3 linked regions of the Struthio camelus genome follow. The protein of the gene in region 1 purifies or fractionates together with the protein of each later gene. This does not show direct contact. Links are inferred from orthologs where the notes say so. Each region holds a gene or a part of one and is shown in the gene's direction. Other genes may lie near its edges. The genes, in order: TEPSIN; iron-sulfur cluster assembly 1 homolog, mitochondrial; AP4S1.

The links.
Region 2: the proteins of TEPSIN (region 1) and iron-sulfur cluster assembly 1 homolog, mitochondrial purify together in Homo sapiens (co-immunoprecipitation; 3 studies listed by BioGRID and IntAct, with this or other methods). This does not show direct contact. The link is inferred for Struthio camelus from reciprocal best matches to the Homo sapiens genes TEPSIN and ISCA1.
Region 3: the proteins of TEPSIN (region 1) and AP4S1 purify together in Homo sapiens (co-immunoprecipitation; 3 studies listed by BioGRID and IntAct, with this or other methods). This does not show direct contact. The link is inferred for Struthio camelus from reciprocal best matches to the Homo sapiens genes TEPSIN and AP4S1.

The regions. Positions count from the first base shown.
Region 1 is NC_090960.1:1,482,275-1,492,439, reverse strand, and holds the start of TEPSIN (AP-4 complex accessory subunit tepsin), read left to right. Parts: upstream 1-5,776; 5' UTR 5,777-5,847; coding exon 5,848-5,889; intron 5,890-6,228; coding exon 6,229-6,301; intron 6,302-6,562; coding exon 6,563-6,654; intron 6,655-6,817; coding exon 6,818-6,911; intron 6,912-7,143; coding exon 7,144-7,211; intron 7,212-7,365; coding exon 7,366-7,444; intron 7,445-7,601; coding exon 7,602-7,673; intron 7,674-8,259; coding exon 8,260-8,466; intron 8,467-9,052; coding exon 9,053-9,227; intron 9,228-9,303; coding exon of another isoform or gene 9,304-9,417; intron 9,418-9,643; coding exon 9,644-9,757; intron 9,758-10,019; coding exon 10,020-10,098; intron 10,099-10,165. Other genes in the region: SLC38A10 (solute carrier family 38 member 10), read left to right, coding at 1-719. UniProt on the Homo sapiens protein: Associates with the adapter-like complex 4 (AP-4) and may therefore play a role in vesicular trafficking of proteins at the trans-Golgi network.
Region 2 is NC_090981.1:14,445,691-14,455,721, forward strand, and holds the start of iron-sulfur cluster assembly 1 homolog, mitochondrial, read left to right. Parts: upstream 1-5,518; 5' UTR 5,519-5,691; coding exon 5,692-5,772; intron 5,773-7,200; coding exon 7,201-7,254; intron 7,255-9,199; coding exon 9,200-9,305; intron 9,306-10,031. UniProt on the Homo sapiens protein: Involved in the maturation of mitochondrial 4Fe-4S proteins functioning late in the iron-sulfur cluster assembly pathway. Probably involved in the binding of an intermediate of Fe/S cluster assembly.
Region 3 is NC_090946.1:53,284,257-53,293,815, forward strand, and holds the start of AP4S1 (AP-4 complex subunit sigma-1), read left to right. Parts: upstream 1-5,257; 5' UTR 5,258-5,386; intron 5,387-5,561; coding exon of another isoform or gene 5,562-5,882; exon of another isoform or gene 5,883-6,097; intron 6,098-6,117; exon of another isoform or gene 6,118-6,243; intron 6,244-9,559. Other genes in the region: STRN3 (striatin-3), read right to left, coding at 5,562-5,882. UniProt on the Homo sapiens protein: Component of the adaptor protein complex 4 (AP-4). Adaptor protein complexes are vesicle coat components involved both in vesicle formation and cargo selection. They control the vesicular transport of proteins in different trafficking pathways.

The DNA.
Region 1 (10,165 bases):
GAGAACAGTTAGGGGCTGCCAAAGTTCAGGGAGTAGTAGGAAAGAGTCTGGAAAGAGACTTGGGAACAGACCTTAAAGCCAAAGCACTGAGTCAGGTGGAGCCCAAAGACCTGGCACTTGCGCCGGCCTCCTCAAGTAAACTGAACGTGGCAGGGAGTGAGCAGCATGTACGGGAGCCTCAGAGAGCTGCAGATACTGAGGGGGGTGAGGGTGCTAATGGCAAACTGCAGCAGGCCTTGCAGAGGGACCTGGCTAGCAAAGTGGAGGTAAAGAAAGAAGCTCCTCGGGAGAACGTGGTGGACATGGTCCAGGACCCTCAGGGAAGTCTCCTGAGCAAGCAGAGGCATGCGGATGGGAGCCTCTCAAATGAGGCTGAGAGGAAGCCAGACACTGAGGACACTGCTGCCCAAAAGCCCGAGAAAGGAGTGGCTGCCCATGGGGACCAGAAGCTGGACCACGATATCAAACCGAACCGGGACCTGAAACTGCAGGCAGACCTGGACCTCCGCCGGAGGAGACGGGACCTGCTTCCTCCCGAAGAGGAGGAAGCTGCACAGGGGGCGGGGGTCTTCATTGGCCTGAACCCCCTTCCAGATGTGAAAGTAAATGATCTCCGGAGCGCTCTAGAGACACGATTAAACCAAGTTGCAGAGGGAGCTCAGCAGGTGGTCCACAGCCGGCAGATCAAACAGATGACACAGGCAGACGGGAGCATGTGAGTGGGGTGATCGCGCTCAGTGGGTGGCTGAGGGTGTTGGCCGCAGGCACGATGCTGATGGGCTCAGTAGGGAAGGTTCAAGTTAACCAGCTGCTTTTTTGGCCAGCGTTGCTCAGACAACGGTCAGTCTAAACCAGCAGCACGTTGTTGGATGCAGTGCTTGGATCCACGAGATCTCCTTGGACTTGTGAATACTGTCCAGGGGACTGTGGGCTTCTCCAGTCTCTGCAAGGGAAACACCTTGTGTGTGCCTAGAGGTGGCCAAGGAGATGGCAACCTTGAAAGAAAATCTCCCACTGTCCTCTGGCTTTCAGAGGTTGCCATCTAACTTGGTTCCCTGCCAGGCCAGCTTTCAAGTACCTTTTCAACGTCTTGTTCATATCGGATTGCCTTCTCCATCTGGCTCTCATTTCCCCTTTCAGGGCTGAGGCAGTTCTCCATGCAGTTCACCCACCTGATTTGGAAAGGCTTCTCTAGCGAGTATGTTGGGTTGCTTAGCCCAGCGTGCTTTGGGCTTTGGAGCAGAGGTCTGGGATTGCAGGCGGGAGGGAGGGGGAACCAAGGAGAGATGCACATCTCCTCTTGAAAGATTTTATTCTGCTTTGGAGATGCATCGATTCAGATTGGATTTAGGGCTGGCTTTAGCCAATTGCTTTGGTATTTCTTTTGAAATGGGAGCTGTTAGTCTTGCATGTTTAGGGGATAGTTGTGGTTTAGGAACCTAGTTTAGTAGAAAATGCTGCCTTAAACAGGCACAACTGCTGCTGTTGTGCTGCCTCTACTCCCAGGGATTTAATTGATTGGCCACACACTAGCAATAACAAAGAGCTTTGCTCTCTCCACCCTCTCCGGATGCTCACACTCTCTTCTGTGCTTTTAAGCTTGACTTCTCCTGTCCAAAGTGCATTATGAAGCTCAACCTGGGGGCTGCAGACTGTCCCCCAAATCAGCTTGACTTTCTGCAAGAAGCGACTAACATTTGGGAGCAGAAAAAAGCGGCTTAAAAGAGTGTTCTTGGGGGCTTGGCTCAAGCATACCTACCTCTTCTCTCTGTAACTTGATGGAGTGTTTGTTGTGTGTTCTTCACAGCCCATTCGACAATGTGTTTTACATCCATCCAAGTAATGTCAGTACTCCGCCCCGGTAACGTGTTTTATGAGCAAGAAAGGGAAAAGCTTCTCTAAGAGTTCTGGTTTGTTTCAGGCTCCCAGACAGTGATTCATCCCTCCTTTCTTTTTTCTTTTTTTTTTTTTTTTTTAAATCCTGACTTGCGAATGTAAGAAATCAAATCCCAAAGCTCTCACTAGAACGGCTGAAATTTCCCAGCCTGGAGTCTACAGACCTCATCACTGTGGTGGTTTTTATATCTGTATCTCAAGTGTCTTTGGTAAACTAGCCTCTCTGCGTTCGTATCCGACGGGATTTCTCAGAGCCGGGGATGGGTCGTTATCAAGCACGTGGAACTGTTGCGCTGGTTCTGGTAAATACCACGGGGAAGGCTCTGCCTTCGGTCTTGGGTACTTTGTTCCTATTTGTCTGCTCCAGCAGTTGGAGACTGCGATGTTTCTGGAACGTGTGCCTGTTGTTTGAAGGATGTTATCTTAATCTCCAATTAAAGTGACACAGAGCCACAGGGCAACAGCCACGGATTCAGCCGAACTGCTTCATGAGGACCAACTGCGTTACTTCCACGTGTGTCTCAGATGTGACTGACATAGCCTTAACCCTCAGGACTTCCTCCATAGTACAAGTGAGCTCCTCCATTACGCTGTCTTAAAGCACAACATGGTTGGGAATCCTTGAACTGCACGTGGCAGAAGGACCGCTGTAGGTGTCCTGTGCTAGCGTTTGTCAGGTGCAGGTAAGGCAATAGACTGCTGATCACATTTCTTAGCGTTAAGTCTGCACTGGGGAGGCTGGTTCATGCTCTGTCCCCTGTGCTGCACTAATGAGCCTTTATAAAGTAAAAGGGAGCTGGAGGAGGAGCTGGATCCCCCTCCCTTCTTGCACTTTGCTGGGTACCAGGGTCTGTCCTGGGCTCTCCCATACATCCCATGTCTGCACGGCAGGGTGAGGACAGGCTCCTTGCCCTGTGGCATCAGGACGTGCCTGTAGCAGTGACGTTCATTGGCATTGAGTCACCTGCATGAACACGAAGGACCAAAGATGCTTCTGACGTTCCTCAGCAAACGGAACAGAAAACGGCCATGGATTCTGGGCATCCCCCACCTCAGCTGGAAGGAGGCAGGGAGCTGCGTTGCCTCTCTGTGCCAGGAACTGTTTGTACTGGGTGTGGAGCGCTTGGCGGGAGAGACTGGAGGGGAGACTGAGCTGTGTAGATCAATAAAATAAGCTGAAGCATTTTTATCTGAATTCTTCTTTGTTTTAAAAAAGCAATCTGTGAGCCCTACTCAGCCACGGGGCTGTGGCCCCCCTGGCAGGGAGAGGAGTCTGCTGTGCTCTGTACCTGCAGGGAGTTACTTTGCCTAAGGAAAAAAAAAAAAAAAGCTTTGTGCTTTCTGCTTTCTTTGAACCTCTCTCTGCTCCACCCTTCCCTGCTGCTGTGGACTAGGGTGGTGAGAATGTGATCCTCCTCCCGCCCCTCACAAACACAGGACCTGTCTTTGGGAGGAGAAATCTGTCTAATTTGAAGTTCACGGGATCAAGCAACTGCAGCATTGCTGCTATTAGAGCTCGAGTATTCAAAAACTGGCTGCAGGATCTGCTGGCTTCCTTCCCTAAGCGTGCTGCGCCTTGGACCGCCAGCTGTTATCTTAACCCAGAACTACGAGCTTGGAGGTCTTGCAGCCCTAAATGCTGGTTTCTGACTCACAAAACGGTGACCAGCTCAAACAGAGCCTGCGCAGAGCCTGGGACCTTGAACCTATAACTTCTTGTTATAGGAAGCTTTGCTCTTTAGCAAAGCTGGAGCTCATATGCAGCTGGGAAACAGGCCTGAATCTGGGACTCCAGACTGGAGAAAAAGAGGATTAGAAAGGAGAAGGAAAGGTCTCTGTGAAGCGTAGATCTAAAGTGAAAGGAGTTCTCCTTTGGCTTAGCGTAAGTGTCTGTAGGCCTGCTCTTTCCAGGCTGGGGCCTGGACGGGATTTTGATCTCTGCTCTACAAGCCAGGGCTGTCTCTCCAGTGGCTATTCTGCATTTCCTCTAAACCTGGCAGTTCTGGCTGCTCAGGGGAAGGGGAAGTGGACTCCAGCAGCCCCAGGGCAGGCAGATGCCAGAGACTTGTTCTAACAATAGAGTAGTTTGAGCATTGTCCGAGTGTACGGCAGCAAACAGAAAGGGAACAGCTACTTGCCGGACGGTAGCTTGGTTTTCCACAAGCTGCTGATGGTTCTCATTTGCTGTTTATTTTGTAACTTAAGGACAAACTGACTCACGTTTTGGAGTTTTATTTTAAAAATATTTTCCCAAACATTTATTTACATGCAGCGTTTGAGAAACGGGTGTACATAGGAGAAGCGTTACGTGAAATACCACCCAGCGCTTCCCTTTCCTTCGCCCGCAGCGACTCGGGCGGCCCCGCCGGTGTGCTCCAGGCCGCACGCCGGACCGCTGCGTCACTTCACCGCCGTCTTCGCCTGCGAAGAGAAGCGACCGCGACGGGGCTGAGGGGCAGCGCTGCCGGCCCGCGTCCCTCCTCGCTGCGGCTCCAGCCTGCAGCCGCGCTCGAGGGAGAGGGGGCTGCTGAGACCCCAAACTCTCTTCCCCCTCCTCGGGGCCGCAGAGCGGAGCGAGCTGGCGCTGGGCACCTACCGCCCGGGCGAAGCAGTCCTGGAGCGCCCGGAACTCCTCGGCGCAGGCGTCCCGCCGCAGCTCCCTGCTGCCGGCCGCCGCCGCGGCCACGCACCGGCCGTAGGCGGCTGCCTGCGGGGAAGGAGCACGGAACCGGGCAGGGAGGGACGGGGCGGGGGAGACGGGCGGGGGGGGACACGAGCAGGACGGACCGGGGGTGACGGGGGGGGGGACGGGTGGGGGGGGGACACGAGCGGGACGGACCGGGGGTGATGGGGCGGGGGGGGAACGCGAGCGGGATGGACCGGGGGTGACGGGGGGGGGGACGGGGGGGGGGGACACGAGCGGGACGGACCGGGGGTGATGGGGCGGGGGGGGAACGCGAGCGGGATGGACCGGGGGTGACGGGGGGGGGGGGGAACGCGAGCAGGACGGACCGGGGGTGATGGGGAGGGGACGCGAGTGGGACGGACCGGGGGGGACGGGCGGGGGGGGACGCGAGCAGGACGGACCGGGGGGGACGCGAGTGGGACGGACCGGGGGGTGATTGGGGGGGGGGGACGCGAGCGGGACGGACCGGGGGTGACGGGGGAGGGGACGCGAGCGGGACGGAGCGAGAAGAACCGGGACGGCGCGGGGCGGGGAACTATAACCGGACTGACCGGGGGGTGGGGGGGACAGGCCAACGGGACGGACCGGGACCGCCTGGGGTGCCGGGCGGGGGGAACCGGCAGCGGGACGGACCGGGCGGGCGGGGCCCCGCGGCCCTACCTGCGCCCCGCAGCCCGCGAGCAGCTCGGGGAAGCGCCGCAGCCGCGCCCGCGCCCGCAGCCAGACGTCCTGGCCCGACATCGCCGCCGCAGCCTCACGCCCTGGGCGCCGCCATGATGGCGCAGGTCCCCATTGGCCGCTCCCTCCGCTCGTCAAAGGGCCGGCGACTCTCGCATTGGATGTTGGCGACCGCCCGCCCAGCGGGGACGCGTTGATAGGGCAGGCTATCCGTCCATCAAAGAACTGCCCTCTGATTGGCTCCGACGTTAGGTCGTGCCCTCGGCCTTCTCGGATTGGCTTGACTGGCCTTCTGAAATCGTGGATTGGCTACGAGTAGTACCCGCCCACTGGCCCCATCTGATTGGTCGCTCTTCCTCAGCAGGCAGTTCTCATTGGCTGAGATGCCGGTTGTTTACTTCCCCTCTCTCGCCCCGTCGCTGGCGGCGTCAGTCTCGTGGGACGCTTCCGCCTGGAGCTCCGCCCTCCCTCCCCGCTGACTGGCTGAGCCAGGGCCCCTCGCGCCCTCATTGGCGAGTGGCGTCTTCCGGGGGGGCGGAGCCTGGAGGTTGTGGTCGGGTCGGGCAGGGACGGGCACTGGGAGCGTCATGGCGGTGCCGCTGCGGGACCGGCTGAGTTTCCTGAGCCGGGTACGGGCCGGGCCGGGCCGGGCGGGAAGAGGGAGGGCTGCCTGCGGGCGTGACGTCACTCTGCCAGCCATGATGTCACTACCACCCCCACCTTGGCCTGGTGTCAAAGCCGGGCTCCCTTGGTGTGATGGTGCAGCCCCTTCCCTGCCCTTCTACTCTGATGTCATAACTGAGCGGTGTGATGTCACTGGGGAGGGGCTGTGACGTCATTAAGGCGGCATGGCGTCACTACGCGGGACTTCCACGAAGGGTTTCCCCAGCCCGGCCGGGGCAGGCCCGGGCCGGGGTCGGGCCCTGGTGCGGGGTCGCCCCGCGCCACTCACGCCGTCCCTCTTGCAGCTGCCCGCGCTGCTCAAGGGCACCGCGGACGACGACGCGCCCTGCCCCGGCTACCTGCTCGAGGAGATCGCCAGTATCCTTCCGGCTCGCTGCTGGCCCGGCCCGGGCAGGCGGCGGCACCGGGGCGCTGCGGGGGCTGAGCTGGGCGGGCGGCGCGGGGAGGGCGGCGGGGCCGGGACAGCGTGCCCGAGCTGGCGCCGAGGGCCCTTGGGGCTGGGAGCAGGGCGAGGCGCGTGAGCAACGCGACGAGGTGGCTGCCCCGGTTCCCTCCAGCCCGCGGTCGCCGGCGCGGCCCGGGAGCAGCGGAAGCAGATTCCTTAACGCTGCGCTGCAGAGATCTCCCGCGAGTCCCCCGGCAGCAGCCAGTGCCTCCTGGAGTATCTGCTCAACCGGCTGCAGAGCAATTCCTGCCACGTCAAGCTGAAGGTGAGCAGGGGCTGAGTGTGGGCTGGCCGCCACGGGGCTCCCCCAGCTGCTGTGTGGCTGCCCTGGCTGCGAAGGGGCCCTGGGGCTGGGCTGGCACCGCCAGGGCGATGGGCTGGCGGGCGGCTGCGGCTCAGCCTTCTTCCCCTGAGACCTGTGTCCGCAGGTGCTGAAGATCCTGCTGCACACGTGCGCTCAGGGCTCCCCCCAGTTCGTCCTGCAGCTGAAGAGGAATGCCACCTTCATCCGGGAGGCAGCAGGTAACGTGGCGAGGAGCAGAGGAGCTGAGGGCAGGGGAGCGGGGAACGGCCCGGCGTGATGCTAGAAACCGCAGCCAGGCTGGGTTGGGAGCCCAGAGCGACTCCCGCCTGCGGGGCGGCCCCAGAGGCTGCGGAGCCTGGCACGGGGTGTCTGAGTTCCTGCGTTCCTGCCCCAACCTGCCTGTGCCTGGGAGCTGAGCGCCCCCCAACCCTCCTGCCCTGTGCCTTGCAGTGTTCGCCGGGCCCCCAGATCCTCTGCATGGCAACAGCTTGAACCAGAAGGTCCGGGCGGCTGCGCAGGTGAGTGCCTGCCCCCGTTCCTCCGTGCCCAGGGGACTAAGTGGGGCCCAGAGCAATGGGGCAGCTCTGGCTCCCTGCTCCCCGGCTCGGGCCAGGCCAGGGTGGCTGCCGCTCCTACAGCTCTCTCCGCCCGCTCTTCCGCCTCTCCCCGCAGGATTTGGCCAGCGTTCTCTTTTCTGATGCTCTGCTCCCCCAGCCCGCTACGCTGCCTGCCCGCCCCCTGCCTCCTGTAGGTAAGTGCCAGCCCCTTGCAGGCCCATCTCCCTCTGCGGGCTGTGCTGGAGGTGCTGAGCTGGTCCCCATTGATGGAGCTGTGTGTGTGCAAGGGAGAGGAACAACAGTGGAGAACAAACACCTGTGTTCTCTGAACATGCTTTGTGCCTCCCCCAGGGATGGGCTCCAAATCGAGCCCCTGCAGCTCCTTGCAAGGATTCGGCTTCAGCAGTGAGAAAAGCAGCTCCAGTAAGTTCCAGCTGCAGCCTTACCTTGGTGCTGTCCGCTCGCCCCGTGCGTCCTTGTGCTGCGCTGGGTCAGCCGTGCTCGCGTGTCTGTGAAGCCCTGGCCCCCTATTTTTGCTTCATGTAGCTCTCCCCTTTTTCAAGCCACCTAGTGAGCGCTGGGGCTGGCAGCGCTGTCGTGCGGTTGGCAGCGGAGGGCTCTGCGGGGCCCTTCCCTGCTGGGAGAGGTGACGGGGATGTGGGAGGCTGATGCCTTTTCCCAGTAGCTCTCTGGGGAGCTGCCTCTGTGCTCCAGCCAGCTGGAGAGGAGGCAGCAATGGGACCTCCTCTTTCATTCCCCAGAGCTGGGGACACCTTCCCCTCCACCCAAATCCCTGCTGAGGGTGAGCTGCACCGTGGGGGACAGATCTGGTCACTCCTTGCACAGCGCCCTTGCCCACCTTGTCCGGCTGCCAGGGCTGTTCCTCTCTGTCAGCCTCTCCCCTTGGTTCCCTTGCAATGTCCTGAAGGACGATGGGTGCCTGGGCTCGGTGCCCGGGGCCTGGGATGGGCTCCCCTGGGAAGCGCCTCATGCTCTGGCCTTTGCCCAGCTTCCACAGGTGAAGTCCTGCTCAGCACCATCCAGCGAGCGGCCGAAGCAGTGGCCAACGCTGTGCTTCCCTCCCAGGAGGGGCCCCGGCTTCGCTGCAGGGAGCTCCACGAAGATGCCTACCAGCCCGTGTCGGCACCCCCTCCCAGGAGGAGGGCGGCAGAGTCTGCAAAACCACCAGCAGCCGCAGCAGCACACAGCATCCGAGGTACGTCACCCTCCTGCACGGGCTGGCATGGCCGTTGACTGCGGGGAAGACCAGCAGGGTTCCCACCAAGGGACTGGGGTGGAGGCCCTGCAAGGGCTGGTTTGGGCTCCTGGGACTGGTGCATCAGTGATGGATCCTGGAGGGAAACCTGCTCCTGGCTGGTCCCTTGTCCTCCGTAGGTGGCACAGGGTTGTGCTGCAATGAAGCTGAACTGGCTGGTGCCCTAGCTTGTGGACAAGGGTTTGGGAACATCCCCAAATCACTTGGTCCAATTGTTTGTGGAGACAGCCGTCATGCAATTTCAGGGCACGCTGGAGGTTGGCTCTGATTTGGCAGCAAGATGCTGTCCCTCAGCTGCTCCGTGGCTCTGTGACAACACAGCCAAGCAGTTCTTTTCCTGAGCTCCCAGCACGATTCAGAGACTCCTGGAAATGTCTGACATGGCACTGAAGTGCAGCCAGCTCTGGTGTGAGGCGAGGCTGCCTGCCAGCATGGGGCTGCAGCCATCGCGGTCTTGTCCTGACTGCTGGAGCAGGCAGGAGCAGCGAGGCCCCAGCTCCAGGGTTCACTGCTCCTTTCCCTGCAGTGAGTCACCAGCCAGGGCTGGCCGCCGGCGGCTGGGAAGAGACGGACAGCGGGCACAGCTCCCAGGACTCCTCGCAGGAGAACGGTGAGCTGAGCCGCACCTCGGACTCCTACAGCAAGTCAGGCAGCGACAGCCACTCTGGGGCCAGTCGGGAGCTGGTGAATGTGGCTGAGAGGTGAGAATGGGGGGCATGGTGAGCTCCCACTCCCCTGAGTCCTTCTGAGATGGTTTCCTCATCTCCCTATGCCCAGGCATCATTGTGCCCTGTCTTTCAACACTGTTAATCTGGAGTGCCCTGAAGCTGCCAACCTGTGTTCCTCCTGGAGTGTTCTGCCTCCCAGGCAGGGCAGCCTTTGGCCGGGCAGGTGAGGCAGTTGGGGCAGGGAGTCTGCCTTGGCAAGGACTCCCTGCAAGGCAGGAGGGCAGCAGGTGAGCCCACAGAAGGAATTTGGGGTCTGAGCTGGGGAGAGCCGGAGTGTGGAGCTCCCAGGGGCATGCATCCTGCCAGAGCCCACTCTGGGGCAGCCCCCCAGGAGGGAGCAGGGCTGGCTCCTGCCCGTGCCAAGACGTTTGAACCCTCTCCTGGTGCAGGGTGGACGCTGACAGCCTGGGCGACTGCCTGCGGGAGGTGAGCCTGGTGACGGCGCTGACTCGGGGCGCCAGGGTCTTCCTGACCAGGGACGAGGTGCAGCACTTTGTCAAAGAGTAAGTTCCCGACGCGTCCCCTCCCTGGGAGCAGGGGTGCTGTGGTGCTGGTGCCCTGGGGCCAGGCAGGGGGTGCTGTGTTGGCAGCAGAGATCAGTGTGGTCCCTTCTCACCCTCCTGGCTGCCTTGGCCCTGAGCTCTGGGGCTGAAACGCTCCTGGGCAGGAGAGGTACTTGCTCCACGCCGGCTCCTGGGGCTCCTCCGGGTGCTGCGCGTGGCCAGCAACGCGAGGCACTGGCTGTAACCTCTGCTCCTGCACCAGGTGTGGACTGCTGAACTGCGAGGTGGTGCTGGAGCTGCTCAGCCGGGCCCTGGAGGACCCCAGCGAGAGTGTCCGCATGGTGAGTGCCTGCAGGGGCTGGGCTGGCCCCAGGGCGCTGCGGGGATGTGCCCACAGGGCTGCTGGCA
Region 2 (10,031 bases), on another chromosome or scaffold:
TCTCATTTGGGGCATCTAAAGGGGGAATTAAATAAACAGTGTTCACAAACTTCTGAAAACTAAACTGCAATCAAGTGTCTCAAATTAAATTCTCAATTTTGGAGTATTTTCTATTTTCACTACTTCTCAAGACTTAAGGTTGGGCTTTTTACACAGTGATTTGTCATTAGGATTTAGTTATAAAAATTATCATCTTTATATTTTAATATTCCCTGCTGTCCATTAGCAGCTAATAATATTAAGTTGACTTGTGTTTGTTTTTATCATAGTTCAACAGTTTTTTTTCTCCTGACTGATGTTTGAATGTTTCAGTTATTTTATGTTTGTTTGTTTTTCTTAACTTTTAAAGTTTAATGCTTCCCCCCTCCCCCCCAATCTTAGGCAGCCTTTCCAATAAATACATAACTCGGAAAACCTCACAGAAGAGGGCCCAGCAAGAATCATGAGGGATATGAAGCACTGTTAAATTGCAATGCAGGCTGTTCGTTCATTTAAAAGCTTCCCTCCCTTCTCTCTCCTTTGGCTAAAGCATCTGGATTCACAGGACAGCAGCATAAACTATCCTCAACTAAAGTTTAAAGAGACATGGGTATTTTATTTTAGATTGCTAGTCCAAAAAACTATGGATTTTAATATTGTCTCCTACCATGGACCCCTGCTCTTGAATAGATTGTTTGAGCGTTTTAATAAAAGCCATGATGTTTTGTATTTGTTTACTAGGTAAAACATGTAGATAAGGGCAGGTACTAAAAATGGACCATTTTCAAGGTTTTATTGTTCAACCTGATCCTTTCAAAATGCACTAAAATTGTGTGCAAGCCAAATAAATGATCTATTTTCTTCAAGAATTGATTTTTTGAAGGAGGAAATAGTATTTATTAATGTTGATTGTTTACTGAATCCTTGTGTAAATGTGTTTGAAATGTTTGTAGACTGCTACAGCTGTGTTTGCGAACTTTTTTCTGTAGAGAACTGAAAACATGGACATTAGTAAACTTATGTATTTAAAAAAAAAAAAAAAAAAAATCTCTGTGGGCAAACAGTGCTGTTGAGTTCCCTCCCGCTTCTGTGACTTTATGAGAGTTCATTTATTGCTGCACTTGCATACAGGGAGAAAAAAAAGACTAAGACAGATCAGTCCTGTTTGCTGCTAAAAAATCTTTTTTCATGGCCTTGAAGATGTAGACAAAATTGCTTTAAGGATTTAAAATATATATATATATTATTTGGCAATTGTGGAAAACGCATTTCCATTTTCATAAAATGTGAAGAGAATCCTTCTACCAGCCAATAATTAATGTTATCAACTTGAACCTTACTTGAAATTCTTCCATAACTGGTAATGTACCATCTTATCCTGTTCAGGAAATAATTATTTACATGGTAAAATGGAAACCACTGTTTATGATTTTGAAATTAAAAAAATCAAAATTCAGACAAGTTTAAGTTTCTTCTTACACTACACTTAATTTGCAGTATTTTTGAATTAAATGCAGAAATAATTATAACTTATTAGAATTATCTCTGCTCTTTAAGATGTGTCCTGTTTAATGTGTTTTGTTTGTTTAGTTTTTTCTCTCCTTAACTGTCTGTTTCTAATAAAGGTAAAAGCTGGAATTTCCAAAGAGGCCTTAGGGTACTGGGATCCAAACTCCTATTTTGGGTTTCATCCATCTATAAATTTCTAGATGTGCAGCTTTCCTTTTTTAAAAAAAAAAAAAAAAAAAATTCTTGTCTTCTTTCTCACCATATTTTCGAGCAAAATCTTAGCCACCAACAAACAAACTTTCAGCTTTCTTCTATAGCATATTTTTTCAGACAAAATAAGTAAATTTTCCCCCTCAAAAATAAGTTGTTGTACTTTTATTCATAACCAAATTATGTAGCTGCTGATATGCCTTGTGTATGCAATGACTTAATTAGCTCTCTATTCAGATTTATCTTCAGTTTTTGCTGATAACAGATATACGGGTATAAACCTGTAAGGGACAACAGCATCATAGCATGTAAAGATGGAAAACATGTCTTAACAACAAAAATCAGATTTACACATACCCTCTTCCATTTGTGTCATTTTGTGGTTTAACTGTGAAGCTTTCAACTATGAAATTTCTGAACCAACATTTGGATGAAAACTAATTCTGCAGGTTCCCAGTCCTCTCACTTTGGAGCTGCTGCTTCCTTATGCAACTACAAGTTTTATATTGTTACTATCTCGGTCCTAAAATAAATCCCACACGCTTGAGTTTTATATAAAAGTCTTAAACCAGTAACTAACAAATGCATTTGTCTGCCTAAATGCTATTTAAATAATGTAGTGATAACTTATAATAGGATGATCCATAACACAGAATAAACACAGTATTGATGAGACATAATCTGCTGGGTTGATTATTAAAGCTTAGTTTATTGTAGAATCTTAGGAAAGGGGTTGAAAATTTAAGTAGAAAAGTGGGTTAATTCTTCATAACATTCAAGATTCTGCTTGCTTCACATGAGTATATTCTCAAGGGAGCAACTTTCCACATTTAAAAAAAAAAATCTGAAAAGACACTACTGTATTAAAACAATTTTTCTAGAAAAAACAATATCAAAACTAATAGTAATAAACTGATTCTAATAGTTTATAGTTAAGCTATGACTAATAGTTTAGAAAATCAAAAAGCAAACACTTTCTGTTGAACAGAATTGCTCTTAATGTTGCCCTCCAACAAATTTCAGTAATAAACACTCCTGGGGCTAGAACAGACATTTAGTATCCACTAAGTAGCTAGCATGTCTTTAGCATTCATGTTTAATTCCGAGATGCTCATAATTCTGTAGCATCACTATGTCTCTTTTAATCGATTAGAAATTTCTAACTTACTACTTCCCTTTTGTTATCTTCTGGAAAGTTGTTATGTTTAGGGAAGTCAGATGGCCTAGCCATAGAAGCCCCTGCATCTTCACTCAATTTACTGCAATGCATTAATCTTTGGAAGAGTCTTTCTGGAACATTTGTGCTTATTTTTAGGAGCCCTTCAGCCTTTAGGAGGCTGCAGAAAGATCTATACTACGCCTATACTGTCCCTCAGATAATACAGTGGGACAGTGAGCAAGTGAGCTGATAGTACTGTTCATTTGTGTGTATTTTTTTATTTGTTATTGTATTGTTTCATAGCAATTCCTCATGCTCTTGATGTCTCTTTTTCCAAAGTCAGTATATGTTTCTTGTGCTATGAGTAGTTATCAGTGCTGAACAAAGGGGGAAGTACTTCTATGTTTCAGGTATGCAGCACAGTTAACCATCTTTCTAGCTTCAAGCTTGCCAATCTTTCACTAGCAGAGATGAAGAGGAAACTGAGGTCTTGATGTTCTGGAATATGAAATTTTCAGTGCAATACCTATTTCTTCTACCTTTTCTCCTTGGTTTATGCTCTCTGGTTTTTAATCTGGAGACTAATGAGGACCAAATAACGAACCTATCTGCATTCTCATTTGCAGTAATGTGAATGTTTTTGTATAACAGTGAAGATTTAACAGTTAAAGTATTTACCTCTTGCTTTTAATTTGTTGATGTATTATCAAGATAAGATTTGAGGTGTCTTTTGACTATGCTTCAGTAATAGCTATTGTTACTTAAGATGAAACCAAGGTCAACTATCTAGTTTACCTATCCTAGCAATTTAATCTTAGTTAGAAAGCTAGATAACTACTAGATTATTTTAATTCTTACTTCCTTTTAAAAAGCTACCATTTTCATATCTTAAAGACCACAAATCCAGCTCTTCTGATTTCACTCTTCTGATGATATTTGTTTTGTAGAGATATTAAAAAAGTTTGTCATTATTAAAACTTTACTTAAATGTCTTTAACAAGAACTTGTTTTATAAACCTGATCAAATTTTTATAAGAACTGCAGAAGCTGCATCAAAAGTAATCTTTGCTAGGAACTTCTGGGCAATAAATGATTATGTAGAATGGGTGCTTGCTAGCAAAGAAAATATTTTTTTCTGTAGTGATGAAGTTAACAATCTTTTGTGTTATTCACTTGAACTATTTAGGTGTTAATATTGTTTTTTTAACCTTTATCTTCTTTTAGTAACGTACTAAAGATGAAAAACACTTTTTTTTAAAGCTATTTTTGTAGTCCATGTTCAGCATTTTTATGCTGAGAGCCATTCAACAGAAAAGTGACTAAAGAGTAATAATTGGAAGCATCCTAAGTAAATACAAGAAGGTAAAGTTCTTTAGACCTACCTGGTAGACTGAATCATGAATAAAGTGTTAGTTGCATTATTTTTATTGACATCAGCTTCAGGCTGATAGTTGGTTCAAGCCCTCCCCCCTGAAGTAGGGTGTTTTAGATGAGAATGTGTGTACAATTTGCATATACTTTGTGTAGCTAAAGAGAATGTAACTTTTTAAAATATTTACTATCTTGATTTTATATTTGATGTAGAAGTATGATGCCTCAGTCATAAAGAGCAGTGGCATGCTGCCAGAGGAAATGGAAAATGGGCATTTTTTTTTCCTGCCACCATAGCCATCTAGCTTAAGTATGGGATTACTCTTCCTGTGCCAAGGCTCTCGCTGTCCCTCCTGGGTATCTGGAAGTTATCACAGTGCATCTCCACAGGGCTGGTGTGAGCAGTGTGGGACCAGCAGCAGATAACAGTCCCTTTCAGCATCCTTCAGGTCTGACTGACATGCCCCTGCTATGCACCTTATACATGAGAGGTGAAAAGAGTGCCTGCTCAGAGAGCCGCTGCTGGGCGAAAATCCAGAAGGGGAGCAAAAGAGGTAGTTTGAAGGGGAAGAGAACAGACCAAGGAAAAACGTTACTGTGTATGCATGTATGTGCATTCATTATCCAGGTGTGATCCATCAACTGTAACCTGTCATACAGGTTAGTTTCCTATTCTTACATATTTTACTGAACAGTTTGTCTGAAGCGTAAGGGTTTTGCCTCAGGTTCTAACCCTTAAAACTGAATAGCCTTATGCTATGCTGCTTTAACGTGTTTGTCTGTTACCTTTAATAAATGTTTGTGTTCTTTGATGACATTTCTCTTCTCTAGACAGGGACTATAGATTTAGGATTACTAACGCGATTTTAGTGGGAGCTTGGGGGGGATGGGATTGGAATAGGGTTAGAAACTGGTGCCTGATGCTGTTCCCGTAAAGCCAAAGGGCAATTATCTGCCAGGGCTTTCAGGTGGAGGCGTGACGGTTTCCCCCTCCTGCCCTTATCTTTGCAAGCAGCCCTCACTCCTCCCTCCCCTCCCGTGCGCAACGGTCGAGCGCTGTTTGAAACGGAAAGTGACCTGCCTCGCGGCAGCGGGCTGTTAACGGCTGGCGCGGTAGTGGCAGGTTCTACGCTGCCTCAAGGCCGCCTACCCCTGGGGCTTCTGGCAGGGCGCCGCCCGGCCCGGCTCCCTTGGCTATGCGCTAAGAGTGATTCTGCTGCACGTTAATTGCTCTGCGGGGCCGGACCCTTCAGCGAGCGGCTACCGCTGCCAGGGGCTCGGTCCTGCTGGCGGGCCTGGGGTCAGCAGGCAACCACACGCCCGGCGGCGGGGCAGGGAGGCGGGTCCAGCGGTTGCTGCCAATCACACGCTGCTGTCCAATAGGGACGGGCGGAGGGAGCGCGTCGTGTGCTGTGGCGTCACGGCGTCGCGTCGGCTGTGCCTATAGCAAAGGGGAGGGGGCCATGGCCTCGTTGGTGGTGCGGGCCACGGTGCGCGCCGTGAGCAAGAGGAAGATCCAGGCCACCCGTGCCGCCCTCACCCTGGTCAGTGCGGCGGCGAGTGCGGGCCCGGGCCCTTCTGACCTCTCCCTTCGCCTCCGAGTAGTGGGCGCTAGAACTGCGCCACGGGCCCGGGGGGCCTTCCCCGGGCTGGGCGCCCGCCGACCCTGGGCGGTGCTGCGTCGCCTCCGGGGCGCTGGGGGCAGCGGGCGGCCTGTGTCTGGCCGGTGGCGCCGCCTGCCTATAGCCGGGCGGCGAGCGAGGCCGTGACGGGACGGCGGGGGGAGCGCGGCTGAGGTGCGGTGGCGAGCACCGTTAGCCCGGCGGGGCTGCGAGGGGGTAGAGGTAGGCTGCTAGGGAGTGGAAGGGCTCGAGAGCTCGCTGGAGCATTGGCGCTGCCGCGGGGTAGGTGGTTCCTGCAGGTCTTCACCCGCGTCTGTGCAGGCAGCGGAAGAGGAGGAAGCACTGGGGCGAGCCTCACGTGCGGTGGCTTTTTGCGCAGTCACCGTAAGAGGTGTATTTTTTCGTAATAGAATAGAAATTCAGTATCTGCAGAAACTTGTTCCCAAGGACGTTCCATATCCCTCTATTATTTGATGAAGGGCATTTGCTAGTTGTGGTAGTGTTGCGGAGGCAGTACAGTCGGGAGGGCTTACTGCAGAGAGAGGTAAAGTACTCTGCATTACCGGGGGCAGACTAAGCATGTCTAGTTCAGTAATTTGTCTGGGTGGGTCGTTCCTGTACGCTAGTGATTCTGTAGCAGTCGAACGTTAATACTGTTAATTAGAAAGGCAAATCTAGTTAAAGTTCTCAGTAGCTTGGGAACTTGTGTGTAAGGGAAACATTTATGTATACTTTGTGTATGTCGTCTTGCACTTCTGCGACAACCGGATCTACATGAACTATGTATGAGTTTATCTTCCGTAAAGTCACAGCTCACCTCTAAGTCAATGGGAAGAGAGGGGAAGGAGATATACGTTACAGACAAAAATCAGCATGGCACAGAAATGTTTATGTGACAGAAATTTGGCTAGAACAGAACTACTTAATTGAATCATAGTAGTACTTTTTCAAAAAGAAAAAAAATAATAAGGACTGATGTTCTTGAACTATCTGCTGCCAGCAGGGGTGGGGAGGGGAGTAAACAGTTATTGTATTCTGCACAGATTAGATTCAACTATTACTTTTTACAGAAGAGTAGGTTAACTTGAGATCAGGCATCAGTTTCAAGTAGAGCAAGGACTAGTCTGCAGTGACAGATGGTTGGTTCTGTAAGTGGACTTTGCAGACAGGAGACAAAACTTAACTGTAAACTAAGATAAAATTTGATTGCATTAAGTTGGAATTAAATTTTTTTTGCTTTATTTGCAGTATGTGACTTGCGTGTATTACGGCATGTGTAATATACTTAGGTCTATTATTTAAAAAAAACAAAAAAAGTTTCAAACTGATGAATATATTTCTGTTTTTCAGACTCCATCAGCTATTCAGAAGATAAAACAACTTCTTAAAGATAAACCTGAGCATGTAAGTGCAAACGGGGCCATCTTGTAGATTGTATTAAGGTATTAGCACTGTTGATGATTATGAAGCGTTTCTGGCTAACCTAGTAGCTTGAAATAAATATTGAACACCTTAGAAATGTTGATGCCTTTTTTGGAGGGCAATGTATCAGCTTATTTATCTATCAAGCTTTAGTTCTATTTAAAAATGAAATCCAGAAAATGAATGATATTTCACTGTAGTTACTTTTGAAATAGATAAAATTGGAAAAAATAATTAAAACTTCAAAATGTTTCTAATCTAGTTTTTAGGTAACTATTCTAGCATGGCATAGGTGGTGACTTCTGGTAGGGCTGGAGGATCTCCAACTGTTGATTTGAAGATGTTGTTAATCAAGTTCTCGAAGGAATTCTGGCTCTGAAATAGGTAATTATAATGATAGATTCATACCCATTGAAAAAAGGTGTAATTCTTATGAACCTTGCCAGACAACATATTTTTGTAAATAATAATTCACTTTTCACCAAGTAACTGATTGAACTTGTCATTTTTTCTTCTTGGGAAAAACACATACAGTCTTCCTTCCTAAACATCATAAAAACAAGCGTTGGGTTTTCTTCTTCACAGCAAGTACTATTTCAGGAAGGTTGTTTCTTTTTTAACTTTGTACAAATACCTATTGTTTCTTTTCCTTCCTGCATGATTGCAACTAATTAGACTCTTTTTAACATTTTAAACCATCCTAAGGAAGCCTTAAGCCTACAGCTTAGCTGGTTAGTCATCCCCTTGTTGTAACTGGTGTTCTTTTTTTTTTTTTTTTTTCTAACCTATTATTTCTAGCTGTCCTTGTAGAGAAGGGTATTTAATCTGAAAAGAACAAATGCTGTTTGTCTGAGATCCCACTTGATGACAACTATGGATACGTTTTTATCATAACACTTTTACAGAGGTTACTGTACTTTTTCTCTCTAATTATGTAGTGAAGCATACATGTTTGAACAGAGGTACAGATACTTTTGGAAGATTTAGTTTTCTGGTTCGTGTGTCCCTACAACCATTTCTCAGCTCCTTACTTATATAGATGTTCTTTTTGTCTGACATACAACATCATGTTGTTTTAATTATTTGCAATTATCCATATTGACTAGGTTGGCCTTTAACGTTGATTACTACAATAAATGAATAGACGTACTTGCCAAAAAGGAGAGACAGGATTGATTTTAAGTAATGAAGATCACAAACAAAGTAATTTTTTCAAAACTTTGGATTGAAGTGAAAGTTTTCTGGTAGCCATTATAGGAGTTCCATGAAAATCTAGTAACAGCCCTTGGCTTGGCATCACAACTTCGTAATTAAGTTACTGTCAATAATCTTAAAATAGTGCCTGAACTAATAAACTTTCATTAGAAGTCACAGAAATCTCTGTCTTTGAAATTTAACTCTGACTTTTATGACATTGAGCACCTACAGAAGTGCTGATAGTTTATTACTTTAAAATGGTAGGGGTTTTTTTGTTTAGCACGCTTTAGGGCTTTGTCCACAATAGCAAACATCTGATGTGTGACTTATTGCTAGTATAAATAAAATGATTAATAATCAACAGCAGAAGTGGTAATGACAAGTATAACCGTAGACTCAACTGATGTATTCTTGCAGTACTGTCACTTTCACATAAAATGTGCAATAAAATAGAACAAATGTAGCATGGAATGAAGAGCCAGATTTTTGCCAATACCAACCCAGATGAGAGTTATAAAATGAGTAATAAATATTTATGATTTGTGTTCTAACTTTTACCTTGATAGTTAGTTTGTAAAAGAGAAAAATGTTACCTTCTAATCCATTAAGCTTCTGTTTTAGCATTGGGTTTGAGACAGGGAAGAATAAATATCAGCATTTTGTTGTTATGCATGCTTTTTATCTTGGTGTTCCAGAAGATGTTTAAAACATCATTAATGTTTTATTTCAGGTAGGTGTGAAAGTAGGTGTTCGTACAAGAGGATGCAATGGACTTTCTTACACATTAGAATATACAAAATCAAAAGGAGACTCTGATGAAGAAGTAGTTCAAGATGGTGAGTTTCTGACGCAGTAAAGCAAAGCTGTGTGGTGGTGGGGAAGAATAACTTAATTATAAGTTTGCCAAGGGACAGGTTAGAACTTCTTTGAAGTAACAAGTTATAGAGGCAGAAGTCCTAGCATTCTGTTATAGAAATTGTTGCCTTAGTTTTTGTTGTGAAGGTGTAGATTTGCAGTCGAAATGAAAGTTGGATCAAGGATACCCCTCATTTTATGCCCATGTTGGATTAAGTTGGAATTCTCTAGGATAACAAGAGAGTCTGTGTCCTGGGTCAGAATAGATGATCTAGCTTATTATTCCAATCTTTGGAGGTAGCCAATAGCAGATATTTAGAGAGAGTATAAAACAAGGCATATCTAGAAAAATACTTTACCAGTATACCTAAAATAATCTTGGCAAGATAAAGATTTTCTGCAAGGAATTTTTCCAGTCTGTCTTTTCTAATAACTAGCCTTATCCTTCATTAACTTAAAATTTAGTTTTAATCTCTTTATGCTTTTGATCTTGACATTGTGACAATGAATTCTATAACTTTAATTAAGCAGTGTATTGAAAACTTTTATTATGCTGGCATTTAAGATTGCCACCTGATAATTTCATTGAGTACCCCATCATAGGTCTATTGTTAAAGTACTGAATAATTGTAGCATAGATCTTCCTAATTTTTATAGAAACTTCCTAGTTTGACAAAAAGACCACTGACAGATTTTTACAGAGGCAT
Region 3 (9,559 bases), on another chromosome or scaffold:
CCACAAACAGAAGTCAGACATTTCAGATGCCTATATTACCAGCATACTCCAGGCATTTGCAAATATTCCCAAATTAGAAGGTTGATAAACTTTTTGCAGTTTATTTCACTTTATTTTAGGCCAGTGCTGTTCAAATCTTCTCCGTTTTTTAAAAGACTGCTTTAGTAGTTAAACTTCATTTCAGAATGCATATAGGGTTATACCTATAAGATCCACTGAAATCAGCACTTTACCAGTTATGCTTATTCTCCAACAGCAATCTTCTAAAAGGTAATAAAAGACACATGATTAAAATACACTGTGCATTCCACAACTATAACATGCACATTTCCTACCTGTAGGCTTTGTACAATCTCTCACAATTAATCTCTGCTATCAACTAAGTTTTGTTATCTAAACAAAACAGTATCAAAGCAGCGCTGCACGTATATTTTAAAATAGTAAAACTAAAGCATTTCAGAGCTACTTTATTGGCCATGAAAATTTAAGAATAGCTGTGCCTGGTCAGCCCAACAGATCACCTACCTCAGTGTCCCGCTTCTAACCACGTACAAACAAGCAGATCCTAGGGTACAACGTAGAAGCAGAAGCAACCTCAAAATACCTTTGTAACCTTCAAAGACTTGTAAACCAAAAGCATCCTGAGTCAGAGGTAGCGGCTGAATTCAGAAGCCCTAATGGGCTTTTCTTCTATGAACTCATCCAAACACTTTTCGACCCAACAAGCTGCTAGCAACTACAATATCCCCCTTGCACAGAATTCCATTAACTCCAAAAAGCTGTTCGTTTGAAAATACTGTTAATTTTACTTCATGCTTCCTAGCTCAACTGAGACACAGCGATCCTACATTCATCACTTAACTAAACAGTGACCACCCTGCAACCCTTACTACTTCCTTCACATCTGATCTAGCATTAGAAAAGCTATTTACTTGCCACAAGCAAGGAGAAGAAGTCTTTGCTATTAGACAAATTGTTCCTCCAACTTCGAAAAAAATTCTCAACACTATTTCCCCTGCTCATATCTGCAATAAACCAAAACACAGAGCCACTTATTTCAGCAACTGGTTATTGCTACGCTTTGTACACGTTGAAACCTACTGCTACTGGACTGCTTATCTACACTCTGAACATGGTCTCATCCAGTTCACTATATGTGCACGTTTACATATATTTACATATTTACCATTCATGTAAAGTGCCTAACTGAGCAATTTCTAAATTCTAATCACCTCTAATCTAAAAGACCCTCCAGGAAGACAAACATCTGTAAATTGTTGGGGGGGGGGGGGGGAAACACAGCTAGCAAAAGAAATTGCCTATTACTAGCATGTAATTCTGCAGTATTTACTAGGGTCCCAAAGTCCACAAAGTTCCTATAACGAGCTGCTTCCCTCTGCCTCACAAAGAAGATTCCAAATAAAATTTAGAGTTTTGCTGTTGTCTTTTTAAAATTTTTTTCAACACCAATGTACAGAACACAAAATGACAGGCAACAAAGGTAACAAATTGTTCCCATAATGTTACAGAATAGCTAGGAAAAAAACATTTATAAAAATCAGATAAATTACGAACTGAATATGACCCTGAAAGTGTCATTTCATATGATGGAAAACAGACTAACAAGCTGATTAATCCTTATGTAAATTTGAGTTCTCTAGTAGGATGTATACTGTTTAATCATACAGCCGTATATACATTGTTCAAAGTATTTCTGTTTCTTAATTATTCTTCCTACTTATTAGAACATTCAGATATTGCATCTACTGTTAAGTTTCTCTCCGTATATTCTTCTGCGATTTTAAAATATCAGGGAGTATTCAACTTTTGTTTTTATCTACTTCAGAAGGCATGAAAAAACTGCACTATTTTAATCATATAATTGGGACTTTGATTCTTGCAAAGCATATCAATCTATAAGCCCGAAAAGAGATTGGAATCCTATTGACTTTCCTAGGTACCCAGCAAGTTGCACGATCTTCAGTTTTCTTTTCTTCCCCCACCATGGAACCCCTCCTTAACACAGCTTTATCTTCCTTCTCTGAGGGCTTCTGTATGTGCCTGTCCAAAGCGTTTCCCCAATCATATATCTTTTATGAGATTACCGAGGCACTTACCCCCCCCCAAAAGGAAACAATTGTTTCCATCAAATATGTAACATCCAGCAACATGGGCTTGCTATACCTCCTCTATAGTGCAAAAACATCTTAGCTAGCTCACAGGGACTGAATATATTTCAGTGTAATAGCTACCAACATCAAGGTCATTATACGGACAGATCAAAACTACAGCTGTAATTACACACTATTTGTTACAGTGAGAATCATTCTTTTAGTTCACAGAAGAGAAAACAAATCCAGCCTATAACTCTGAAAGATCTACACACTGAGTACAGGCAAATTAGTTCCTTCACACACAGCAGGGAGAAAATTTTAAAAAAAAAAGTTACTGTGGCAGCCAGTATTAAAAATGATGAAAAAAAGATGCTATGTTTTAAGTACTGCACTCCGATATTCAACATTTCTGTACTCGACTCTACACACACAGGTTTGACAACTATGCCACTTCACTTGTGCATACATGGAGCTGAATAGTTTGAAAAGACAGCACAAAGTTATTAACTTTTTAGAGTCAGAGTCTTTCACTGACATGAATGTGGTGACTTAAGTCACCTAGCACAGGACTGCTTCAAAACCAAATAGTTGAGACCAATCATTATGATTGTGGTATAAGTAGCTTGTAATTTAAATTAATTATAAAAATTTGTCCCATGCACAGGTAGAACAACTGAGCAAAGTGTTCAATATCATTATATGATCTGAAAAAGTATAAGCTGTTACTACAGGACACCCCCCACCTTCTCTAGCATGTGAAGGGCACTCTCACCAGGGGTCAACAATTCTCTGAGGCACTTTAAGTACACAGGAGAAAGGAAAGGAGAAAAAAAAAACATATGGGGGGAATCACTCAACAGTGATATTAGTTTCATACTGCAGATAAGAAAGCATCTTATTCTTCCAGAGAGTAACAACCAAAAATTCAACCCTCTGAATAGGTCAATAAAATCACAAGGTACTGCTGTCACTTCGTTTTCCATATACCTTTTGTAAAGCATCATTTGCAAACTTATTGAGTTAACTTAGGTTGGAAGAAACCTGTAATTACCTGCACTAAAAAAGACTGTTTAGAAAGCTTATTGTAATGTTGAAAAACGGAAGAAGTTACATGCATGGATGAGACTTGCAACCTTGTTTCCTTTCAACCCAGGAGGCCTCAAATCCTCTAAAAACTCTTACATCTACTTAGGATCACACAGATGAACAACAGTCTCAGCAGTTTCAACAGGCAATAGTTTGGGGTCTAAAACGTTAAGGCTTTATTAGCTACAGAATTATTTGTTTATTAGTTTATTAGTCACAGAATGAACTGTGACTTCACAGCTTGAGAGTACAAGAGGAAAAAGAGGGGAAGAAGAACAAAGCAGGCCTGTCGAACACATCTCTTTCAAAAATATTGTCAACGCATTTCTGTAACAGTTATCATCACCATACACGTTGACATTTAAAATCCAATAGCAATGCCCCCTACATTTCTATCCCGGGCTTGCCATGTTATAAAAAAAGACACCCTCATACATATACACGGCAGTGATATGCCTGTTGCATCCCATGACTTGATGCACACATGAAATAGAGTGACTCAACACATACATAGCCAGGGTCAGAACTACCATAGTACATCCAGAAATAACATGCAAGTAACAGAAACAGTATGACCACGGATGACAAACAATTACAAGCAAAAGCAGGAGACTTAGCAAGAACACATCATAGTGTCCAGAGGCCAAAAGCAGCACTTTTCAGTTGGATACAGGTTTCAAGGTCTTAGAACTGAGCTTTACATTTAGAGCTCAGAATGAGGTATTAGTTTCAAAATAACAAGTCTATGCATAAATATTCTCAGATTATTTTCTTTGCTAATGCATGCCCACTAGGCAACTTATTTATAAACGCAGTCCTATACTGCTGAGAAAACAAGAGAAATAGCCAACTGTTCCCTACTGAAAATGCCCACGAATATGCACCAAACTGATTTTAGAAACAATCGTGTCACAAAGCTTAAAATAGTAAGACCTGCAGTAAGTTAAGTAAATAGTGAAGTCCTCTCATTTTTCACTTTTTTGGGGGCTTCTTTCTTAATTATAGCTTTAATAAAAACACTGCAAATTACAGAGGTTAGAAGTCCTGAAAGAACTGCCCAGGCTCAAGTATAGTTCTAGTTTCTGAAATCTGAAAGTATATCCCACCACAAAAGTTGATTGCTGTTGCAACATGCTATTAATTACAGTGCACTTTGATGGAATGCTGCTTCAACACAGTAAACATTCACTCAATACATACATCACAAAAAATGATTTGAAAGTAATAAACTTTGATTTTTTTAGGGCAAAGCCACAGACAATGATAGTCAACAATAATGTCTCATCCATTCATTCATATATGGATACCTCCAATTCAGTAGATTTTGTAATTTGTATATAAATGTGACAGTCTATGCAGTTTTATTTTTATGTGCAAAAAGCAATTAGTTGAGGTACCCTTTCTATCACTCAAAGCAAACACCATTTGCAAGTGATCTACACTGGAAATCAAACGCTTTCTCTGTCTCCTACAGGGTTGTTCAATTTCTGTTCCTAACGTTAAGTCTGTGCTGTTATGTGTATTAAAACCATCGTGCTCCAGACCTACCAACTCCTCACTGCTCTTCAGCAGTTGTTTCTCTGATGTGAAATCTCTCAAGAAGCGAGAAAGGAAGAGACGGGACACGTTCAACCTGCCCCAGACCTCGACGCCTGGGAAACCCCTTTACGTGAGATTTACCTGAATACCCTTTCCTAGCCTTCAGCCTCCTCGGGCAGCAGGTACTCTTCACAACCCCCTCTCCCCACACAGCAACGCTCGCTGAGCTCCAGGGAGGCTTCAGCCTTCCCAGGCCCGGAGGCTCTTGCTCTCCGTACGCGGCACCCAGGGCTGCGGAGGCCGCCGGCCCGCAGGGCCCCGAGTCATTGTGCTCGGGGAGCTGACCGCAGCTGTCAAGGGGCACCTCGCTCTGCCCCGGGCGGCCGGGCAGCAGGGGCAGCAGGCCGGCGCCCAGGCAGCGGCCGCCCGCCCGCCCGCCGCTCGGCGCCCTGCGGGCCCCGCCAGGCGAGCGCGGGCGAGGCCTGGCGAGCAGGGGCTGCCTCGGCAGCCCGGAGCCCAGGCGGGCGCCATGCTAAAAACCAAAATGGCTGCCCCAGGGAAAGGAGCCCAGCTCAGGCCGTGAGGGGCTGCGCCTCCGCCAGCCCGGCCGACCGGCAACGCCGCTTCGCCCGCCGCACCTCGCCCAGGTACCGCCGCCGAGCCGCAGGGCCGCTCTGACGGCCGGCTCGGCCTCCGGGCCCCGACAGGCTCCGCTTCCCCGCGCGGCTCTGCTCCCGCACCCGAACCGCGGCCCGGCCCCCCGCGCCGGTCCCAGCCCGCGCCTCGCTCCCTCCCCGCGGAGCCCGCCCTCGTCCCCCGTACCTGAAGCTCGGCCCGCTCCACCTCCCAGTGCGCCCTCTCCATCTCGAAGCGGGCCCACTCGTGCTGGATGTAGTGCAGGATCCCCGGGATGGTGTAGTGCTGGGGCCGGGACAGCTCGGCGGGGCCCGCCGCCTCCTGGCCGGCCGGGGCCGCCGGGCCCTGCGGTTGCTGCTGCTGCCCTCCTCCTCCGCCGGCCCCGGCCCCCACGCAGCCCCCACCCGACTGCAGGTTCATGTTCCCAGCCGTCTGCGGCGGCGGCTGCTGCGGTCTCGGGGCGGCCGACATCCCACCGCCTCCTCCGGCTCCGGGGTGCTCGTCCATTGTCTGCGGGGAGCCCTCCTCCTCGTCCCGCGGCGGGGGCCTGGAGCAGGGGCCAGGGAGGGGGGTGAGCGGAGCTGGCTGGGGCGGGGAGGAGGGGGGGGTGGGTCGGGACGGGAGTGGGGAAGGGGGGGGGGGCCTGCGCCGAGCAGTATCCGGATGTCAGAGCCGCGCCGAGCTGCCGCCAGCCGCCATTACAGCCTCCGAGCCATCGGCCCACCCACCCGCGGCCGGGGGGGGGGGGAGCGGGGCGGCGCGGCGCGCGCGGGATGCCGGGAAAAACCGCTTCCCTCGCTCCCCCGTCTTCCCTCTCCCGGCCGGGCACGGCCGTTGCGGTGCGCGTGCGCATGCGCCTGCCAGCGAGGTAAGCGCCGTGCCCGAGGGGCGGGGGAGCGCGCTGAGGTGGGAGCGGGCGGGCGGCGGCGCTGCTGGCGCCGCTCCCCTCGGAGGGCGCGGAGGCGGTTCCTGCCTCTCGCTCCGCACCCGGGGACAGATCGCGCTCTGGGTTTAGGCGGTGGCACGCTACCAAGGGGTAGTCACTCGGGCAATGGCCCTCGTTTCCCTCCTGTCTCCCCTCCGGCCGCCGCGGGGCGCCGTGTGCCGCCCCGCCCAGCGCGGCCCGAGTTAAGATGGTGGCCGGGCTGGCGGCCGCCGCGCCGCGGGGAGGCGGCGGGGGGCGGCAGCGCCGCCGCTCTTCGCTTTTCTCGCTGTCCGTCAGGCAGCAACGGCGGCACTGGGCTTGCGGGAAGGCTACCGAGGTCACGATGGCCGAAGTTTCGGCAATAACGTGGTGCCGGGATACAGCCCGCGAAGTTTTAAAAGCTCCGTTCTCTGGGAGTTTACAAAGTAATTAGAAGAGTTGGTGGAAATAGTTCTAGCTTTGGCCATTAGCTGTGCTGTGGGCCTTAGCTCATCGTTTTCCTTTTATAAGAAATAAAGCTGGGTGCGTTAGGCCAAAGATGCCGTGTTGTTTTTCTAAAGGGGTGTTTAGGGGCAGCCCCCGGCCTGAGGGGCCGGCGGTGCGGGCAAGGGCGCTGCTTCGCTGTTTAAACTGATGTGCAGAAAAACAGATGAGAAGTCGCAGAGTTTAAGTCCTTAAAATTCGGTGTAGTTTAATGGTACATTTAATTTACCTCACAAGTAGGGAACTTTAGAATGCTTTTCTTAAATGCATGGTATGTCTGGGGAAGTTGCCTGATCATTTTTAATGAATGGTCATTTTTGGAGTATGTCACTGAAGGGTAAGGGACTTCTGTAACGTTTTCCTGTGTCCCTTGATGGGAAGGGGCAGTCCGTGTCTCCTCTCCTTTCTTTTTCTCCCAGTCTTTTCCACACGAGGGAGATTTTTCAGGGCATTACTGATTTGTTTCATCTGGTTAGTTTTATCTGTGATAGCAAATGCTCCATTTATTGCTGTAGTATGGATAAGGTCAAATTATCCCAGTTACAAATTATTGCTGTGAAATGCAGCATTTATAAATTATCATCACATCCTATTTGAAACGACTTGCAGATCACCCATTTTAAGTAAGATGGATTTTCTTTTGCCTCTCTTGCAAATGTCTGCGTACTGTACTCATTCAGTAAGAATATGGGTAGTTTCCTAAAGAAGGCTTGCTCCAGATAGATCTGGAATTGTGTTAATTACTAAAAAATAGCTACTACTTGTCTCATTCGGTACTGGTGTTTCTCCACTCATCTCTCCTCAGGTACATAATGATATTTCAGTTGTTTTACCCATTCCTATCTGTCTTCTGCACTGAATCATTTCCTACTAAAATTTAATCCTGCGGGCTTCCTGATTCCATGCAGATTAGCCTATCTAAATCCGAGTCGTTTCAACATCAGCAGATTTTTTTCATTGTCCAATGAACAGTATTGAATCATTACCAAAAACGAATACTAACCTCTCAACAAATTTAGCCTTTTTTCAATTACTGTCTTAAGACGCTCCCTGTTCCTGAACATAGAGGAGTTACTGCAATTTCATTTTGTTACCGTATTCAGCCAGGATTTTGACAACTAAGCAGCAAAGGAAAACTTTTTTACTCTTTCCTTCCTCCCTGACTTCCCTAGCATAATAAGGTTACTTTTTTTAAATGTCTGATCCTGGAGCTGAACACAGTGATTTCTTTTAAAGCAGCATAGACAAAGGTGTTTCATCTTTAGATGAACTGTATTTTGTACAGTAACAAGATCTACCATATAAAAACAAGTACTGTTACTGATAAGTAGTAATAACTGTATATGACCGTTATTAAAGCCTTGTCCATGGTGAGAACAACAATAGGAAGGATAAGGGTGTTGATTACATGAGCGGTCTTCATTTGCTACTTACCTTTTCACAATAAGTGCATAGCCAGATAGTTTAATAGACTAATGTGTATGTCAAAAATACTTGTTCCCATGCTGTCGCCTGCTTGTGCCCCTACCAGTTAGGCCTTTTTCTCTCTCTTCACTTCTCTTGACAGTTTAACTCATTTTGTTCTACAGATAGTACATGCAAATTAAGACACATCTCTGCATCCAGAAAACCAGTGCAATGTTCATTTATACCCTTGTGTTGAGTTGAACGGTGCAGTAAGTTACAGGCTTACAGTTCTATCTAACATTCAGTTTTAACTCTTGGCAAAGCAGATTTTTAAAAAGCAGTTGTGCATTTATTGTTTTTCAGATATAATCTCTTACTTACATTTTAAGTTAGATCCCTGAATTGTTGCAAAACTTTGTGATAGCAGTACAGTAGACAGAAATCCAATTTGAGTGACAGCTGTAATGCCAGATGTAAGTCTCAAACTCAGGTTGTGTGTTTTTTGTTTTTTGTAATATATCTATCAGAGTATGTATGAATATTGGAGGAATCTCTTGACAAAATAAGTTAATGATGTCAAGTGTTTGCATCTACTGGAAGAGTACTTAAAATTATGTTTTCCTGGATTTACTGCATGTGGAATTTGCTAGGTTGGCCACCCTGGAGATTTAAGGCTTCCCTTTTATCTACAGAACAGGTATTGCAGGCTGTGCCTCTCCAAAAGGTTTCAGCCACTGCCTTCAGATACTGGTTTAGAGGTGTGACTCACAAACAGACAACTTTCATTGAGGTATCTCATGAGCTTACTACATGCCTACAGAGCTGGCTTGTCCTGGAAGCCGTGTTCCTGAACCATCCGTTTCTCGTCATTCTGCAGAAAACCAAACAGGTTTGATTGTCTTAAATAAAAGGTTGCCTTGAAATACAAGGCTGTTAGATAACTGTTTCACACACACCTTAGCTATCTGTTCAGGCAGGGGAGGATGAGCCTGCTTGGGGGCACTAAAATCAAAAGGCATATCTCTTCATGAGCCGAGGTCCTTAGTCTTCAGCCTGTCTGCTTGCTGGTTTAGAGTGAGTTAAAGCCATTGTATTGTAATTCATCAAAGATTGCGCAGTCTATCAGTCTACAACTGTGAATCACACAAGCCAATCATGGTACCAGTTTCTCTCATAGCTATTTATCTGCAAGAGACACTTTAAAGAGGGTAAAATCTTAAACACAGTATGACAAGATATGTTTAAATTACAGTAGTTGCGCTGTAGTAGATAATTATGCCCAATTATGCTTACAGAAGAGATTTCTTGCAAAGGAAGTGGAGAGCCACGCAGTCATTCGGGAAGGTAATTTGTTCTGAGGGAAAGTTTG